3 linked regions of the Nothobranchius furzeri genome follow. The protein of the gene in region 2 binds, or shares a complex with, the protein of the main gene of each other region. Links are inferred from orthologs where the notes say so. Each region holds a gene or a part of one and is shown on either strand. Other genes may lie near its edges.

Evidence for each region. Proteins that work in one complex are often made in the same cells at the same time.
Region 1: polr3f (region 2) and crcp share a complex: the UniProt entries of both Homo sapiens proteins name them as parts of the RNA polymerase III complex. The link is inferred for Nothobranchius furzeri from reciprocal best matches to the Homo sapiens genes POLR3F and CRCP.
Region 3: polr3f (region 2) and polr3k share a complex: the UniProt entries of both Homo sapiens proteins name them as parts of the RNA polymerase III complex. The link is inferred for Nothobranchius furzeri from reciprocal best matches to the Homo sapiens genes POLR3F and POLR3K.

Annotation. Positions count from the first base shown.
Region 1 is NC_091750.1:56,809,922-56,813,680, reverse strand, and holds the start of crcp (DNA-directed RNA polymerase III subunit RPC9), read left to right. Parts: upstream 1-887; 5' UTR 888-1,002; coding exon 1,003-1,010; intron 1,011-1,791; coding exon 1,792-1,828; intron 1,829-1,924; coding exon 1,925-2,023; intron 2,024-2,109; coding exon 2,110-2,204; intron 2,205-2,316; coding exon 2,317-2,374; intron 2,375-3,759. UniProt on the Homo sapiens protein: DNA-dependent RNA polymerase catalyzes the transcription of DNA into RNA using the four ribonucleoside triphosphates as substrates.
Region 2 is NC_091746.1:29,572,712-29,575,525, reverse strand, and holds the end of polr3f (DNA-directed RNA polymerase III subunit RPC6), read left to right. Parts: intron 1-1,582; coding exon 1,583-1,690; intron 1,691-1,761; coding exon 1,762-1,953; intron 1,954-2,024; coding exon 2,025-2,102; 3' UTR 2,103-2,217; downstream 2,218-2,814. UniProt on the Homo sapiens protein: DNA-dependent RNA polymerase catalyzes the transcription of DNA into RNA using the four ribonucleoside triphosphates as substrates.
Region 3 is NC_091745.1:3,876,578-3,879,855, forward strand, and holds polr3k (DNA-directed RNA polymerase III subunit RPC10), read right to left. Parts: upstream 1,878-3,278; 5' UTR 1,735-1,877; coding exon 1,624-1,734; intron 1,513-1,623; coding exon 1,425-1,512; intron 1,008-1,424; coding exon 880-1,007; 3' UTR 610-879; downstream 1-609. Other genes in the region: snrnp25 (U11/U12 small nuclear ribonucleoprotein 25 kDa protein), read left to right, coding at 2,204-2,425. UniProt on the Homo sapiens protein: Core component of RNA polymerase III (Pol III) which synthesizes small non-coding RNAs using the four ribonucleoside triphosphates as substrates. Can mediate Pol I proofreading of the nascent RNA transcript.

The sequences.
Region 1 (3,759 bases), on a different chromosome or scaffold from region 2:
CAGATCAGTTTACAAGTACAAAAATTATTAGTCAATTTAGGGTTGGGCATCGAGCATCGATTGGAACGGGGACCAACTGTTAGTTTTTCCCGGAATCGTTCAAATTTTTTTATTTAGATTCCAAGTTTCGATTCCTAGAATGCCGACGGAAGAGGAATCCGCAGCTGATCTCCGTGAAAAATAAACGTGATCTACCAACGCTTTTCAGATCTGATCACACCAGCTTTCTGTGTGCAGTACCGAGTCCCCCCTCCCCCCACCTGGCGCGCAGCGGCCAAATATAAACAAACGTGTCCGCCGAACTTTTACTCCGTAATGTAAACTTTAACTCCTGCAGCGTAGAGGAAACGTGTTAAAATCATCAACACGGTGGATTTAATAGAAGCTTTAAAGAACAAACTCTGGACGGCGTGAGGTGAGTTTGTCTCACTGCAAAAATAAAAACACACACGGAGCGTCAGCAGTCAGACGCAGCCGCTCACCAACACTCGTGTGTGTGCGTGCGCATCAGAAGGCTGAACAATAACCTGTAGAATAAAGTCTTCATGTTAGAGAAGCTTCTCAGTGGTGGACCACACCAGCTTCTGCCACAATAAATACTCATGATAATACTAATAAATCACACACAAAGTTGTGAACATTTTAATTTCCTTTCTGAACTATTTCTGTTGAGTATTTTAATGTTTAAAATCTGTTAGATTAGGAAATCTGGCTCAGCTCCCTCTTCACCACGACAGATCGGCTCACTGCAGACGCCGAACCAATCCGCCTGTCGATCACACACACACACACACACACACACACACACACACACACACACACACACACACACACACACACACACACACACACACACACACACACACACACACACACACACACACACAAGCAGACCTTTCGAGACTTTTTTCTCCCCTCACATTTGTGTCGGCGGAACCTTTATCCATGCTCTCCGTTTCCCCACGGAAGGTGTAACAACGTACCGCAGTTCCGGGCGCATAAATGGAAGTGTAAGGATTTCATTTTTACCTTTCATTTAGTTTATTTTAGCAAGAGACTTTGCTAAGTAGCTGTTGTGAATTGTGTTTTTAACAACAACTATAAGCCGTAGTTTTCAGTTTTTGGTTTATTATTGATGGATGAAAGCGAACAGAGCTAGCGAAACAGCAGAGACACATTTTCAGTTCGGTCTGGGACGAAAAACTGTTCATCCTAGCTTATTAAAATTTAAAAACAAAAAACGAGTCAGTATTAACCATTAAAGCCAAACAACACGGTCCTTTTGTTATGACTGAAGACTTTTTTTCTAAAGTCTTTTTAATTCTTTTAAATGAAACTTTTAGCTGATTTTTATTTATTTATTTTTACTAAACGATTCGTAAATGGTCAGAATAATATTTTACTCTCGACTGCATTTTTATAGGTTTAATTTCTTAACCCACATGGAGACAAAAAACGCATTAATCATCTTAACTGTTCATTCCTCTATATTCCGAGTTGATGGTGGACAGGGGACAGCTCTCTAGTCCATCACAGAGACACATGCACTCACTCACAGGTAGAGACAACTTAGAGTCAACAGTTAACCTGAGATGCATGCGTTTGGTCTGTGGGAGGAAACAGAGTATCCATACAGAGAAAACACGCATGCAGTGGAGAACTCCACAAAGGCTGCAGCTGGAATTCGAACCTGCAACCTTTTCGCTGTGAGGCAGCAGCACCAGCTCCTCCCTTCCATGCAGCTCATAACAACTACATCAATTCAAAACTTTCAACTTTTTGTGTTTTCAGCAAAAATTCAAGTGCTGCAATGCTCAGCAACTATGAGGTAATATAGTCGGTTTACCCTCGCATGACGTGTTATTCACTGTTCAGTCAAACAGATCAGTTTGTAACTTTTACTTTCTTTTTTTTTACTGCTCAGGTGTTCAAACTTCTCATAGATCTGAAGGAACAGAGGAAAGATGGGGGGAAGAGCAAACACAGTGCCGGGCAGCAGAACCTCAACACTATCATGTATGAGGTCAGGTCACATCTCTCTTCCTGCATTTATATAAATGTTTTGGTCATATTTATTACAAACATAATCTCCTGTGGGTTCGCCATCAGACACTTAAGTACCTGTCGAAGACGCCGTCCAGCAGACAAAGTCCTGAGATTGTCAAGGAGTTCCTCACCACCATGATGCCCCACAAACTCACAAAGTCAGTGAGATCTAATAAACATTTTATTTTGATTTAGTTGTGTTGATACGATGGACATTGTCTTAACATTTAGCCTTTTTCTGTTAATCTGATTTGTTTTTGTCATCATCAGGGCAGAAAAACTTCAGCTGTTGAACCACCGACCTCAAACTGCAGTAGAAATTCAGCTAGTGAGTCTCGTTAAATTTGTTAAAATTTGTGCAAAACGCAACCCAACCTACCAGGCTACCAGTAATAACCGGTGAAATCCACAGTAGCTCTGCCTGCCAGCTCTGCAGTTTCTTTAATCTTTGATTGAGAAATATTAAATAGCATTCAGACCTAGACTGAGTAAAAAATAAACACACACTGTGGAAATTAAATGTTTTTGTTGAATCAAGACACCCAAAACAGAATTTAAACTTTAAAAATGTATCGCAACACAAGGAAAATATTATTTTTTTAATTTTAATCACGCTAAGAGTTTGGTGCGTGGCATTTGAACTAGCTGCTATTTTATCCTTTGTTAATTATAAAAAAGTGGTTCTTTTAAAGGTGTGGAACACTTTTAGTGAATATTTCTGATTATAATCGGTCTCTGAGTTTTTCATGCAGGCTGAACATGAAAATAGTCTCCTACGTCTATCTGCTGCATTAGCTTCGGATGGAAAATAGACGGTGAAACTCTAGGATTAGAAAAGCCTGACAGATCTAAGTCACACTGTCACTTAACATTAATGGACTCACTCATCTTGATTCATGACGGAGAAGGCTGTTGTTGGCTTAGCGTCCAGGAAACGGCAGAGAATGTCTCAGCTAGTAGAAGCTAACCATTAGCAACTCCACCACACAGCAAAAGCTCCTCCAGGCTTGTGTTACTTGTGGAGATGATAATCAGTGGTAGAGTCGCATTGCTGTTGTAGTGTATCGATAGTTACATCTCTTACGTAGGAAACCATCAAAGGTGAGATTCCTTAGAAAATATGGAATCAATTTGATGTATCTTTGAATACTACCTTTAATCAGAAGATATGAACTTTTTATTGCAGGGATTAGGTAATAATTTGTAATAACCCAGAGTCAAAGAGAGAGACAAGTTTTAAAGTTTAAGAAGATTTATTTCTAAACAATTTAAAACAAGGCTAACTCTAACTTTAACTCTAAAGCTTGGTTTATGCTTGACGCATTCACTTTCCGCTTGGTGATGCGGCTCGCGGATGGAACGCGCTTCACAACTCGCAGCGTTTATGGTTCGTGCGGCTTGTCTCTGCGGTGAGCCAATATTCTCCCAAACTGAACGGGGCAACATGGAGCTCTACGGCATGCATCTAACACTACACCATAGTAGAAGTAAAAATTACTATTTACAACATGGCATTTCAGCATTTTTAACAGCGTCCTCGTCTTTTCTGACAGTGCGAGCTATTTCTCTCCAAGAATGATTAACAACATGTTGATCACGGTGATCTTTGAGAGCTAAATCATACAAATGTCTGTATTTACGAACCTCTGCCATACTAGTTCTAGCCGGTCCGCCATGTTTTTCCACGTCCGACCGTCCGCGTGGTTAGAAATT
Region 2 (2,814 bases):
AATAACTGAACACTTTAAGAAATCTCCACTTTCCGACTGCTGGCGCTCATTTTCTCACCGTCTTCGTCGCGCTCTCCCCTCTCTCTCTCTCTCTCTCTGTCTCTGTCTCTGTCTCTCTCTCTCTCTCTCTCTGTCTCTGTCTCTGTCTCTCTCTCTCTGTCTCTCTCTCTCTCTCTCTCTCTCTCACCTTTTTCCTCCTCCTCATTCCCTCTCGTCTCCCTCCACCTGCATGTGCTCTGCTGTGTGTCTGAGTCTGATCCTCCCTCTTCCCCGCCCCTACTGCTCTGTGTGTGGACAGTCTGGACACACAGTTACACATGCTGACCAATCGCCTGTAGCTTTCACCAAAGCAAGAGGGAAGGGGGGGGGGGGGGCACGGCTCCCAATGATGAGCCGGCTCTTAGGGCCGGTTCGTTCGCGACCGACACATCACTAGCTGGTACCATATGATGTCACAATGTTGTTGTGAGCCTGTGTGTGTGTGTATTAGTTAGCGGCTCCGCCCTCTCGGTCTGCTAGGCAACAGCATTTGTTGCATTTTTCAAACAGGAAGTGGGAGTGGAGTTAGACTCTGGTAGGGGGTGACTTGCTCTTTAAGTTAAACTAAATGAAGCCTTTTAATGATCTTGGCTTAGCAGCAGCATCATAGCAACAAACCTCTCATCCCCGAGACTGAACTTTGGGTATCCGTGGATGTGCCTGACTTTAAACCGGCCTGAAGGATCTCTCTCTCTCTCTCTCTCTCTCTCTCTCTCTCTCTCTCTCTCTCTCTCTCTCTCTCTCTCTCTCTCTCTCTCTCTCTCTCTCTCTCTCTCTCTCTCTCTCTCTCTCTCTCTCTCTCTCTCTCTCTCTCTCTCTCTCTCTCTCTCTCTCTCTCTCTCTCTCTCTCGTCGTCTTCACCTACTCCTTTGGGGTGAACTGAACTCAGTTATGGACCCTCTACAGCTCTGTGGTAGCGTCTGTTGTCCTTTTATGAGGTTTATTATGTTTGGTGGAAGTGTAGAGAGGGTCAAGGGGACATTAATCAAGCTGGTCAAGAGGGAAAGGGCAGTCCAGCACTGTCCCTTGAGGTGTGTGGAGCAGGTTTGAACCCCACCCCCAGACAGCGGGACAGACAGACAACTGAATTGTCCTCTTACTCTGTTTTTGTTATGAGAGCGCTGGAACAGCCGTGTGGTAATAAAAGTTTATTCAGGTCATTACGGACCACCAGAGGGCAGCAGAGATCTCCCTCCTGAAGGTCCACTGACCTGACCTCATGTCTCTGAGCTCAGTTCCTTAGTAAGGCATTATGGGATGTAAGGATCTTATCTTTTAAAAGAGGTCTTAAAGAAACGATGGAAGCTCTTTAACCGTGAAGCTTCAGCCAGCCTCCATCAATACTCCTTTGAGGTTCTTCTGGGTCATTTTGTTCTGTTGGGGAACCCTCCCGACGACAACAACTGTTGGACCAGAACCTGATAGTTCTGCCAAATGACCAAATGATCGGATCAGAACCCATCCTCTGGGTTGGTCTGGATGATGCTGTTCAGGAACAGGTGGGTTCTGGTCATGTGACCGTCGTGGTGTTCCGTGTGTTAAGGCTGACGCAGCGAGGGACAGCAATCAGAGCCCGATGGTTCAGCGGAACAGCTCCTTCGCCACCTCTCATGAAGTGTGGAAGTACATCTGCGAGCTTGGAATTAGTAAGGTGACTGCTAACGTCCACCAATCACACATCACGCTCGCTGTAGTCCGTGTGTCTGACAGGTGTGTGTCCAGGTGGATCTGTCCATGGACGACATCGAGACCATTCTGAACACGCTCATCTATGACGGGAAGGTGGAGATGACCGTGATTGCCGCCAAGGAGGGGACGGTGGGCAGCGTGGACGGGCAGATGAAGCTGTACAGGGGCGTGAACCCCATCCTGCAGCCCACCGGCCTCGTCAAGACGCCCTGCGGACTCTGCCCGGTAACCACACTCATTAACATGGCTGCATCCTGCTCGTGGACGCGCCTGAACTCACCTGATCCTGTCTGCAGGTGTTTGATGACTGTCATGAGGGAGGGGAAATCTCTCCGTCCAGCTGCATCTACATGACCGAGTGGTTGGACTTCTGATGGCTATTCGGCCCACTTCTTTTCTCTGTGAGGAAACTTCATTCAGCCTGCTGTGATCCACAGTTTTTCTTTTTTTTATTTATCAGTCTTAATAAAGCAGCTCGTGTGAACCGTTTGATGCTGAGATGAGTTATTGTTCAGTCTGGTGTAAAATCTGCAGGAATCTTGGACTGTCTCTCTGACAAATGAAGATGGATGAAATCCCACCATCTCCAACTCCACCTCTCTAAAACTGAACTACTTGTCATCCCAGTGAAACCATCCATACAGCACAATATCTCAATCCAAAATCTATATCTGGCGCCTTCAAAGGCAGTTCGAAATCTGGGTGTTGTGATTGATGAACACCTGACCTTTAAAGATCATGTTGCCTCTGTTGCTCGTTCATGCCGCTTTGTGCTGTATAACATACGAAAGATCAGACCATACCTAACACAACATGCCACCCAGCTCCTGGTGCAATCTACCGTCATCTCCCGCCTCCATTACTGCAACGCCCTTCTAACTGGTCTTCCAGGCTGCACTGTGAGACCTCTTCAAATGGTCCAGAACGCAGCGGCGCGTCTGGTCTTCAATCAGCCTAAAAGAGCACACGTCACCCCTCTGTTCATTGAGCTCCACTGGCTACCGCTAGCAGCACGCATCAAATTCTAACCGCTAACACTAGCATACAAAGTCCGAGATGGTACGGCTCCCATCTACCTGAATCCTC
Region 3 (3,278 bases), on a different chromosome or scaffold from region 2:
TGGAAGGTGTGAAGTTGCTGTCAGCAGTGGGTGTGTTGGCCCTGGTCGGCCTGAAGCAGACCCCCTCGAGAAGAGGGCTGAGAATGAGCCTTGGTTGGCCCGGAAAAATACCAGGCCACCCAGATATGTAAACAACCTACGCTACCCGGCCCGGGCCGACCCGGTACAGATGGGAATGGTCCACAAGTGTACTGAAGGCGATAGACAAGCTAATCACTTAAAAACGAAAGCATGACATCTTGGTGTGTGTTTTTCTGTCAGGCTCATGCAGCACCATTTCAGATTTAGCTGATCTTAAGAGGTTTTAAAAACTGAGTACTAAGCCATTAAGGATTCACCTAAATGAAGGTTCTTCGCTTAGATGAAATGAAATACATTTGATTAGTGAGATTTTAATGAGCTTCATGAAGTTGTTGAATTAGACCTTTTGCAAAAGTGATTCTGAACACTAACAGTGAATCATCTCAGCATGTGGGATACATCAGCCACTAATGCTTCTCGCAGTTTGCCTGGGCTATACCTTTAGTAATAATCATTGATGTGCTCCGACTCTGTGCATATTTTTTTCCTCAAGACTGAAAAATCTGTGCAAAATATAAAACAAAAAAACACATTTTGTGAAGGATTGTAATGGAACTTTAGTCATGTTGTGAAAACTGCTGGTCTGCATCGCTCCAGATGTCTGATGTACAACTATGTACGCAATTTATGTGACTGTACACAGGCGCTATTTTACCAATAAAAATCATGAAGTAAACACTTTGTCATGTGGAACATTTATCACAACTGGAAAGTAAATGGTGCAAATAAATACAGAAGAAAAGGAAAACCAGGCCAGAAATCATCTGAACATTTGAAATAACTACAAGTAGAAAACTTTCAGTCTCTCCATCGATGTCCACACTGGGCATTACAGCATTTGTAGAAAGTTGTCATGGGTTCATCAGCAGATCTGGTCTGAATCTGCATGAAATACGCCCGAGGATGCTCACACTTGGGACATTTTTCTGTACAGAGATAGAGAAGGAATATGTCAGCTTAGAGGCCACACCGGTATGTACCATCTTATACCCCAAATACCTCTGGTATGTCCAGGTTTTAGTTTAAGAATGTTAATCTTAAGAAATCACTAATCCTGTTTAAGGATCATGAATTGTTTTAAGGAGATAAATAATAGTTTATTAAGCATCTAGCCAATTCTACTATGACCTAAATAAAGATACAGGATATCAGGATTGTTGAATGGTTTGGCTTGAACAAAAAGAAAAACTGAAAATCCTGGATTAATCCGTTTGTATAATTGAAAATTGGAAGTACACTTTTCTCATTTTAGGCGTTAAAACACTTTAATTACTTAACTAAAACTAAAGAATATGCTAAACATTTGTATGCAGACTCCAGGAAGTCATTTTAATGTTATTTACCTGCAGTTGAATCCACGTTCTCCCACGCAGCAGCCCCACCGAGAACATCATCCACCTCCTTTAATTTGGGATACTTTCGGTTGTTTACCTTCAAGAGAAATAAAACAAGACCTTAAACTTACAAACCTAACGACAAATATTTTGTGTTTCTGACACCAACTAGATGATGAAACCTGGTTTAGTTACGGGTGACTCCTACCTTTCTTGTGATGTTGTGTATGTAAGGACAGGTGTTACACGCGAACCTCATACACTTCTGTCCTTCTTCTACGATCAAAACGTTTCCACAGGTAGGGCAAAAGAGTAGCATTTTAAATGTAATCAATTTGGTCGCAAACCATCAACTAAATGGAATCTAAATGTGATTTCACCAGAAACCATCTGCTGCGTAGAGAAAACCGGAAGTCGACTGATGAAAACAGCTCGAACGGAAACAACCGGAAGTCGCTAATCGTTTAAACAACATGCCTAATTGTATGTAAACAATTCTATATTAAAATGAATGTTATTAATTTATGATAAGAATACGTATTTATCAAATGTTAACGCAGCTGTTCATTTTTATTTTCATCAAGTGGAACCTTTTACATAAGGTCCATTTCCGTTCCGGTAGTTTGTTTGTACTGCACACAGTTACATACGGGCTTTTGCTGTTCTAATTCTTCTTTTTTAGCAGCAGTTTTGAAGTAAACCTGTAATTGTTGTCCAGGTAAATTGTATCCAGACGACGTTTTCTAGCAGGAAACCCGGAAGGTACCCAATAGCTGGATGATTATCGGATGGAGGAGGAGCAGAGTCCAGGTTCTGCTGTAGTCAAAGGAGGTGAAGGAGCGCAACTAGTGCAGGATGAGGAGGTGAAAAAGGAGAGCTTCCTAAACGAGGCAGCTGCTGAGGAGGAGGACGATGAAGATTCTCTCCCTCACTCTGAGATCCTGGATATTTTTGAAGAAGGACTTGCTCGACTTGTGCAGGACCCTTTACTCTGCGACCTGCCAATCCAGGTGTTATTTCTGAGTGCCCTCAGTTACTCTGAAGGAAAACGTGTGTTGTCACCTTTATTTGAGATTCACTCATTGGAGCTGGTCTATTTTATTTTTAAAGTCCAATGACGATTGTAGAAGATATTTGGGCCAGGATTATACTTTTGTAGGATTTAGTAAATCACACTGTTACAATATCGTTGGGTATTGCGATGACGATAACAGTTGTGCTAAATCCTCATTTTCCTCACTCTGTTACCACACATCACTCACCACTGGTGTGTTTTCAGCAATAGCATTAAGGAGATTCAGTCACATGAACATGTCCCCATCTACTGTGAATCAAGCTGTTTTTGTGTGCCACTGAAGCAGTCACAGTGATGATGTTTTGTGATACATTGTGCAGCTTTTGTTACTTTAGTCAAAAGTTTGGACACACACCTCACCTGCAATTTCCAAACAGTCTATTTAGATACCTATTAAAACTCAAATGGATCCCATTTGCACTACAAAGTGTTTATGAATCAATTTGCAAGCTTCCAATGGAGTAAAAACAGCAGATCACTGCATATTACAGTTTTTATTAGAGCAAAGACAAAATTATCTCCCCAAAGTCCTTGCTGATGTCTCTTCTTGCTTGTATGTTAAAGCTGTGTGATTTGTACTCTGTCCTAATATTGGTTACACAAGAGGACAGCAGTAGAAGTATTAGCTCACGTCTACCTTGTGCATTTTGTTAGGTCAATAAAGTATATTCAAAATATTTCACTGTATTTTGCTCAACTTGTCAAAGTATTTCCAAATTTAAGACCAGCAATAAATCTTCATAATCTAACAGCAAGTCCTCTCAGGGTTGTGAGCTTTTCTAGATGAT